Coturnix japonica: one gene and its partner. The protein of the gene in region 2 purifies or fractionates together with the protein of the main gene of each other region. This does not show direct contact. Links are inferred from orthologs where the notes say so. Each region holds a gene or a part of one and is shown on either strand. Other genes may lie near its edges.

Region 1 (3,683 bases), on a different chromosome or scaffold from region 2:
CACCTCCCTGCACCGTGTGATCCTCAGGACGACCAAGTCTCTGTGTGTAGCAGCATTATCTCTGCATCTCATGCGCTATGGCGATCATGCTGGCTCTGCTCTTGCTAATGCTGCCACCGTGTGGACGTAACACAAAACAACTTCGGGACAGCTGAGAGAAAAGTGTTGTCCAAGCCTTTAACCCAAAGGCCTCAGGTACATTCACACCTCCCAAACCAGGGGGCCAACACTGGGCTGCATCACCTGTACATCACAAATCCAGCAGGCTTAAAACATTCCTACAGTGATGCTGTTTCTTGGTATCTCCTGACTAGCAAACGTAGCACACAAACTATGCATAGGCCAGTCCTGAGCAGGTCAGTTCAGGCATGGCTGACTACTCTTAACTAGTTCACTGCATGTTTTGTGTTCAGGATAGATTACACTCACCTGGAAGCACATAAGGAACACGCCATTTCTATTCCGATCCACACAAAGAGTGTCTTGATATGAGCAATGAGAGAGACTGACTTCTGTGTGGCACAAGGAATAGCAGGTAAGAGCACAAAGCAGCCCATTCCAAACGTGTCACAAACGTGAGCAAAGCAAGAGCTAACTCAAAACAACGCAGAAATCCTCAAAATATAAAAGTTTATTTAACTACAATATTAAAAAGTACAATATAAAGATATAAAACATAGAAATCCCATCATTGGTTCAGGGGTTAAAGGCATTAACTGGCCAGCTGTAAGGAGGAGCCTTCATGGAATTTACAGGCAGTTTAGCACTAAAGGCTATTTCATCTGCTTTCAGACTTGAAATATTGAACAGCCATTGCAGAGAATTTGCTCACCAACATCAGCGTAGCTGGAGGGGGGGGAAAAAAGAAGAAAGAAAAACAAGAAGTCAGAGTGCATTCACCTTTCTTGGAACACAAATCATAGAATCATAGAATTACCCAGGTTGGAAAAGACCTTGAAGATCATCAAGTCCAACCGCAGCCCAACCATAGTACCCTAACTCTAATAACCCTCCATATGACTCCGAGCACAACACCTTCTTTATATCACAGCACCCTTAATGACAACATGGAGCTCTTAACGTCACTCCTTGGGAGTGCATTTGTTCGTCACTGGCCAGAATAGGACACTGCTGTTGAAATAGCAAGAGGAATAATTGCCACCTTGAGCACATAAATGAAAAGCTGAACTAGGCTTTCATTAAGATCGATTAAGCTGCTTCACACAGGCATTTCATTTCCCACGTTTCACGCAGTTTTATTGCTCCTAATTCAATATCCAAGGAGTTTCAGTCAATTGGATGTATGAGTTAGATGACTGCTGAGGCTTCATAAACTACAGCAGGTCGTCAGGGTGCACGGAGTGACAAGAATCCAAGAAGTCCAAAGGCACTTACTCAGTGATGGAGCACAGGGAGCAGGTCACGGCATTACAGCAGCTGCACACCCTGCTGCAGCTCTGGCACACGAACCGGTCGCACTGTGCACACGCTTCCTTCACATCAGCAGCTCTTACACATGAGGAGCAAGCTTTGGAAACTCCCACCGGAGGAACTGCTTAGAAAAGATACAATCAAGAAACTAGGAAAACAGAGAGAACAGCAGGAGCTGGTCAGCTCCGCTTGGTACCGCATCTCACCGCTCTCCGTGTTGGCCGTGCATCGCAGCAGTTTCCCGTTGGGCCCGATCCTCAGCTGCTCGCTCCGGCTCCGTCCCACGCTTCCCCCTCCCGACTCCGGCTCCGTGGAGCGGCTGGCGGCTCGTGGCGCTGCGGGCCAGGCGGGCTCCGTGCAGCTCTGAGCGGCCCTGAACAGCAGCCGCCGGGTGCGCTCTGCCGGCGGACACGAGAGGCGGGTTACGGGCGGCCGCGGCCCTTCACCCGCCCTTTCCTCCCCTCCCCGTCTCACCGTAGATCTCCCGGCGATACTCGTCGCCCCGCACCCCGCGGCTCAGCTCCTTCAGCCCCACGCGGGTCTTCAGCTGCAGCGGGGCCGCGTCCCCGAAGGGACACGAGCGCTTCGGCATCGCCTCCGCCAAAGGCACCGGGAACCGGCTGCGACGGCGCAGCGACCGCGTCACCGCCACGGGCACCAATGGAGCAGCGGGGCGGGAAGCGATGAGGGGCGGCGGGTGGCTCCGACCGAGCGCTGAGGCGGAGCTTCGGTGCTCGCAGGCTCCGTAATGCGGCCGAAATGCCGGGATATGGAGAGTCGTTGGTGGGATGTTCCCGTCTGACACACCGCCACGTTGGGCTTTTTTGCACGTACAGCCAACCTGCGGCCTTTACTCCTCAACAACATGTGTACACCTCATATCAAAGGTGCTATTATATATTACTGCTATGAGTGCCAGCACACAGCTCCACGTCATGTTCCTATGACTAGTAACTGAGTTCATGGCCTCATCTTGATGAGTTGTTTCAGGCACCAAAACTTGTATGATAAGCCAGCAAGGTGCAGGATTAATGCTGAAACAAGGGTTTGCCACCCTGGCACAGCAGCCAGTGCCTTCACTTAAGTTAGCACGACGTGGTTCTCGTAAGAGACACAACAGCTCTGCTCTATAGATCAGAATCCTCGAAGGTCCCACTTACACTAGAGGGCACTCTCAGGACTGTAAACAGCGTTGTTCATTTAATTCGAAGTGATCGTTCCAAGAACTCTGTGTTCAGAAAGTGCTATTCTGCTCCTCAGCCTGGATCTCTATGGGAGAGACACCAAGGCACTCATTGTATCTCTGTGCTCTCTGCTGAGCAGCCTGCACTAGTGTTGTGATATAGGCTATAAAAGTGATGTTCAGTACTAGGCCTACCACCCAGGGTGCCAACTAATAGATGTTATTATATGTGCCTGCCAAATGAGGACTACAGTATCTCAACACTTCGAAAACATTCAAATACATGAGTGCTTTATCCTGGAAAAGGCATCTCCTTGCCAAAGACATTCATGCACAGTGTTAAAGTGTGTACTACCTCCTGCTGCTGGCCAAAACCTGATGCATTAAAGGAGGTTATAAACAGTTTGTGTCCCCTTGTTTTTATCTTTCCCCATCTCCTGGACAGTCTCAGAGCTGATGAGCCAATATTGAATGCAAACACAGCTGCAGAAATGAACAGATATTAATAACGCACAAAGGTGCTTCAACAATTAATCTCTTGTGAGAATACGTAGATTAAATGGCAAAGTCTTGGAACTACTCTGCAGGTTTTAATACCTCACAATGACTGATATCCACATGGACAATACTTCACTTTTGACAAACAAGAGTTCAGGCCCACACAGGAGTAAAAGCAGCAGAAAGGAATTTCTGCCAGTTGTTCCCTGCCTTTCTTTTCCACAGACTTGTTGTCTGGATAAGAACGAACTTCCATGAGGTACAAGGAGTGGGCTACGGCTTGACCCCACATGAACTACTAGAAGTGAGTATGAATAAGGAAGCAATGTATTAATTGCAGCACTAGAAAGGCAAGATGTCAATGTCAATCTTGCCTTTCTTCCTGTTTTTAACACCCTACCCACATTCTTTCCTCCCTCTCAGCCTAAAGACTCTGCTCTCCAGCTGACATACAACAGATGGACCAGCAACTAAACAGAGTGTTTTCCCACTGGGTAATTTCAGCAGAGATACTTACTTGGTTGTTGCTGGTTTTTTTTCCTTCTGCCTTGAGCAATGTTAGTGTCACATG
Region 2 (4,387 bases):
AGAAACAGATATATGTACCTAAGCTACAACAAAGCAACTTCAATAAACTGAGAAGCAAGCTATACAGATCCAACCCTCCACAGAGTTAAAACAGGGGAACAAAGTATCCATCAAAAGTATCAATCAGTGACTATAAAGTGTATCACTGCAGGAATACAACGGAGTTACTGCTCTTCTTGGTTAGGAAGAAAAAAAAAAGGCAGTCAATGGGAATATGTGAACAAAATGGGCAGTGATAAAAAACACCTGGCAAAACCTGCAGTGACCATGGATACTCCTCCCTTCTCAAGTATGAGCTGTGCTCCAGCTTGCAGCATCACATGCTTTTACTGTTCAGCTAGAAAACATTTATGCCTATAGATGAGTGAAAAGACAGAAAGAGACAAGCTCTCTTCAAGGGGACATAATGAGACTGGACTCCAGTTGCAGTAAAGTGATTAATGCCACAGCAAAACTGCCAGATCCTTGCGATTATAAAGGAAGAAACTGCAGCAGCAGGGCAGCACAGGGAGCCCATGACCTCTGCCCAGCTGGGCTGCTCACACAGCAAATCCATCTGGGCTAAATGGCACCTCAGCCCAGTATCACTAGCATGAATGCTTTGTCATTCATCGATGGGCTGAAATCATACACACCCAAATTGGTGTGCATACACACAGCTGTGTGCTTGGAATCTCTTGAATTATCCTCTATACTTGAAGTTTTTTATCAAGTTGGGATGACTCGAGGACTAATTCTAACACAAAAGTGAAACGTGAAAATTGCACCTGCAGACAGCACTCAGCACCAAATGCTGCCTTACTGTTTAATAAGAAAACGTTCAGAACACAGAAGGGGAAGGACAGCAAACTTCAAGACCAGCTTCATTTTACGTTCTATATTACATAAGTGACATTGCTCACTGAGGATGGCTTCTCAATTCCAACATTGATTAGATTCCACTAAGCAAGCTTTAAAATAGAACCTGCACTCTAGTAAAGAAGATTTTGGATAGTCATCAAGTCCAAAATTAACATGGGAAGCACCCAGGTTCTCTGGTAACAATTTTCAGTTGTGCACACAGTATTACAGTTTCCATTTCTAAAATAGGAAACGTTCCTAAAACTAGATGTGCAAAATCTCTCCTTATGAAATCAATTGCTGTCCCTTCTTCGTCTACTCAAAGACACAGCAACGTATAAGGGGGTCAAATATCTTATTGCTGGTATCCACCCGATAACTAACCAAGCATAGAAAAGGCAAAAAGTAAAACATTCTGTGATACAGTCTGAGCTGTTAAGAAGCAGCACCAATTAAAACAATAGCATTTCTAGTCCTGAAGGACAACCCAAATCAGGCTGTGCAACACGCCTTCTTCCACTTTCACATACCTTCAGCCTATCTGCACAACTAAAATTTTCTTCCCCTTAGGTTCAGAAATCTATTTCTAGAGCCTGGCTTCCTATAGTTGTGTTCAGAGCCTTTTGAATAGAACATCTCATGATGGACCTCTTGCTATGAAAAATAAGCTGCAAGAGACTACATCCATTAACTCCTGATGGAAAATAAGAATGAAAGGGTATCTACAATGGCTTTCCCCTTGGTATCCTGCCACCAACCAAGGTTAGCAGCAGATTAACTAAAGCAGATACAAGTTTCATGTGTTCTGGCACCAATCTTTAGGCAATAAACAAACAAATAAATAAATACATCCTTTCCTTCACAGGGAGCTCTTCATTGACTTATGAACTGGATATTCTGCAACACTTCAACTCCCTTTGGCTGCCTCGCCCAGCCTGGCAGTACAGCAACAGGTGCACCATCACTATCGTGGGCACACAGAAGCCTGCAACAAAATCCACCTTCACATTCCAAAGGCTTTGATAGGAACACGCATTTTCTAACTGTTCTGATAACAGAAGCAAGTCTGCCTCGTATCACTTGAAGCAGAAAAAAACCCCACCACACCCACATCAGAGTTCTTTCACTTTTGCTGCTGGTTACAAGGAGCAAGGTCAGAGGAAGCACAGAGCTGTCATTAACTCATTTCTTTGCCCTTCTTGGCCAACAGCGTGGGTGCCCAACTTCCAAAAGGACTGAATCACTCGTGTGTCCTCTTATGGGTCCTAAATAAAACTACAGGACAGCAAAAGGAAGCACTTAAGGAAACAAAAAAAATATATCAAAATATAGACTTATTCAACAAAACTTTTCATCCCCAGATGAAAACTTGCTTTCTTAAAGTTCATCTTACGCAGTTATTTCAAGAGACGAGGTGAATAATTCAGTGTATATTTAACTGCATCAAGCTATTAGTTAAGAAAGGATTTGGAAGCATCCATCAGCAAAATGTTTTTTTTCTTTTGGTGTAAGTGAAGCAAACACCACCACACCTCATCCCTAACGTAACACACAGCACAGCTCCAGTGCGGGCAGCAGCACAGGAGGAAGAGCTGAACGACTCTGCTCCATCCGAACACTGTCCTACACACGAGATCACAACTCCAGGCAGCAGACACTTCAGTGGATACCACAAAGCCCAGGCTGTGAAACCACGAGCGGACACCTCTGCAGCGGAGGGGGCGCGCCCGTTCCTGTGGCAACGCCTCCCGGCTCGGCGACCCTCGAGCACATGGGGCGGGTGGGCCCCGAGCAGAACCAGGGCTGGAAAGGAGCGGCCCTACCCCGCGCGGGGAGTCCGCCCGCCGACCCGAGTGCGCCGCGCCCGCCTGACAACTCACCGCGCCGCGTATCCTCCTCACCGGCCCCGGCTGCGGGAATCGCTCCGGCTGAGAAAATGGCGGCTCCCGGCAGCCTCTCGGCTCCGCACCGCTCGGCAGCAGCGCCCCACACAGGGCCGGGGGAGCGCGGCAGTGCGGGGCCCGCTGTCAGACGGCGGCACCCAGTGGCGGCGGGCGGGCAGCGCATCACCCCTCAGCGGCTGCTGGTCTTCCTGCCCGCTCCTCGTGGAGTGGAGCGGCCGAAGAGCCCCCAACCCGCTCGCCAGCACTTCCCGCTGGGTACCGGCCAGGCGTGGTGCTCAAGGGCCGCTGAAAGATGGTGTGAGGGAGTGGTTGTTCCCCACAGAATCCATGGTCTGCACAAAGGCCACCGTGAGAAGTCATCCGCCACAGAATCACAGAATGACCCGGGTTGGAAGGGACCTCAAGGATCATGTAGTTCCAACCCCCTGCCTGGCAGGGCCACCAAACATACACATTTACTAGATCAGGTTGCCCAGGGCCCCGTCCAACCTGGCCTTGAACACCTCCAAGGACGGGGCATCCACAACCTCCCTGGCAGCACACATCCGCCATGTGCTGCTCTCTGAGGTACCCCCTGAAGATGAGAGCTGCCAGCAACGCCGCTTGCTAACTTGGCGCAGAACTTGTCTTCTTGCCTTTATTCCTCCCTCCTCTCATGAGAACAACGAGTTTTTCCAGTCCCGAGTCAGCAATGTGTGGGCTGACATCTCTGCAGGTTGGCATTTCACCTGATCTGAAACCTCCAGTGTATCTGTACAGAGTCAAAACAAAGTCGTTTCTAAATGAGAAAACTGGCTGTACTGAAAATGCAGACTATCGTTCTGGATCACATGACAGAAATATTATTTAAGAATTTAAACCCAAGATGATAATTGTACTGATTTCAATATCCCGAGAAATAGCTGTGTTTCGCTAGTAAAGATTCCTATCAGTCCACACTCAGTTCACACCATAGCAAAGCACAGTTATTTACTTAAAGATCTCAGACGTATTATGACACGGTGAGAGGTTAGCACCTTAACAGAGCAGGATGAATGTGAATATTTAATCTTATAAATCCTCACCATCCCACATTACTAATGCATTCATTAGCAATGATTTTAACAAATGCCATCGCTTTGTTGAGGTTTTGATGCTTTTCCAAACGAGGCAAATCATTTTTTTTAATACCACAAGGTGTTTTTACAGTGACCCTCTTCTGGGTTTTGATGTCTAAATCAAACATCCTGATCAAACAAAACCCAAAACTTCTAGACCCAACACACAGAGCAACCAAAACATAAGAAAACATCACAAACAAGAAAAATGATGACAATAAGAAGAGTAATGCTTATAAAATGTTTTACCTTCTACACAAGCCAGTTCTTGTTCTTCTGTTCAACCAATTTAAAGTTCAGTTTAACATAAAATTCTGAATCAGTAAGTTGTACTGCAAGCCAAAACTAACGACATCTTTGGTGACTCAACAGTAAAATGAATTGTATTACTTTGAAGCACCTTTCACTATAGGCAGAGTTCTGGTAATTGAGCCAAAGGAGGTAATTAAACTTCGAGCAGAAAATCACAGGCAATATCTTTGTCAAGTTGAACTCAATGTAGAGAAATATTCCTGCTTGCTGTATTTATTCTTTCCTTTAAATTAA

Evidence for each region. The genes of interacting proteins can lie anywhere in the genome.
Region 1: the proteins of XIAP (region 2) and SIVA1 purify together in Homo sapiens (affinity purification with western blotting; 3 studies listed by BioGRID). This does not show direct contact. The link is inferred for Coturnix japonica from reciprocal best matches to the Homo sapiens genes XIAP and SIVA1.

Annotation. Positions count from the first base shown.
Region 1 is NC_029520.1:46,911,591-46,915,273, reverse strand, and holds SIVA1 (apoptosis regulatory protein Siva), read right to left. Parts: upstream 2,412-3,683; 5' UTR 2,024-2,411; coding exon 1,906-2,023; intron 1,830-1,905; coding exon 1,638-1,829; intron 1,553-1,637; coding exon 1,396-1,552; intron 847-1,395; coding exon 789-846; 3' UTR 609-788; downstream 1-608. UniProt on the Homo sapiens protein: Induces CD27-mediated apoptosis. Inhibits BCL2L1 isoform Bcl-x(L) anti-apoptotic activity. Inhibits activation of NF-kappa-B and promotes T-cell receptor-mediated apoptosis.
Region 2 is NC_029519.1:14,642,511-14,646,897, forward strand, and holds the start of XIAP (E3 ubiquitin-protein ligase XIAP), read right to left. Parts: upstream 2,829-4,387; 5' UTR 2,721-2,828; intron 1-2,720.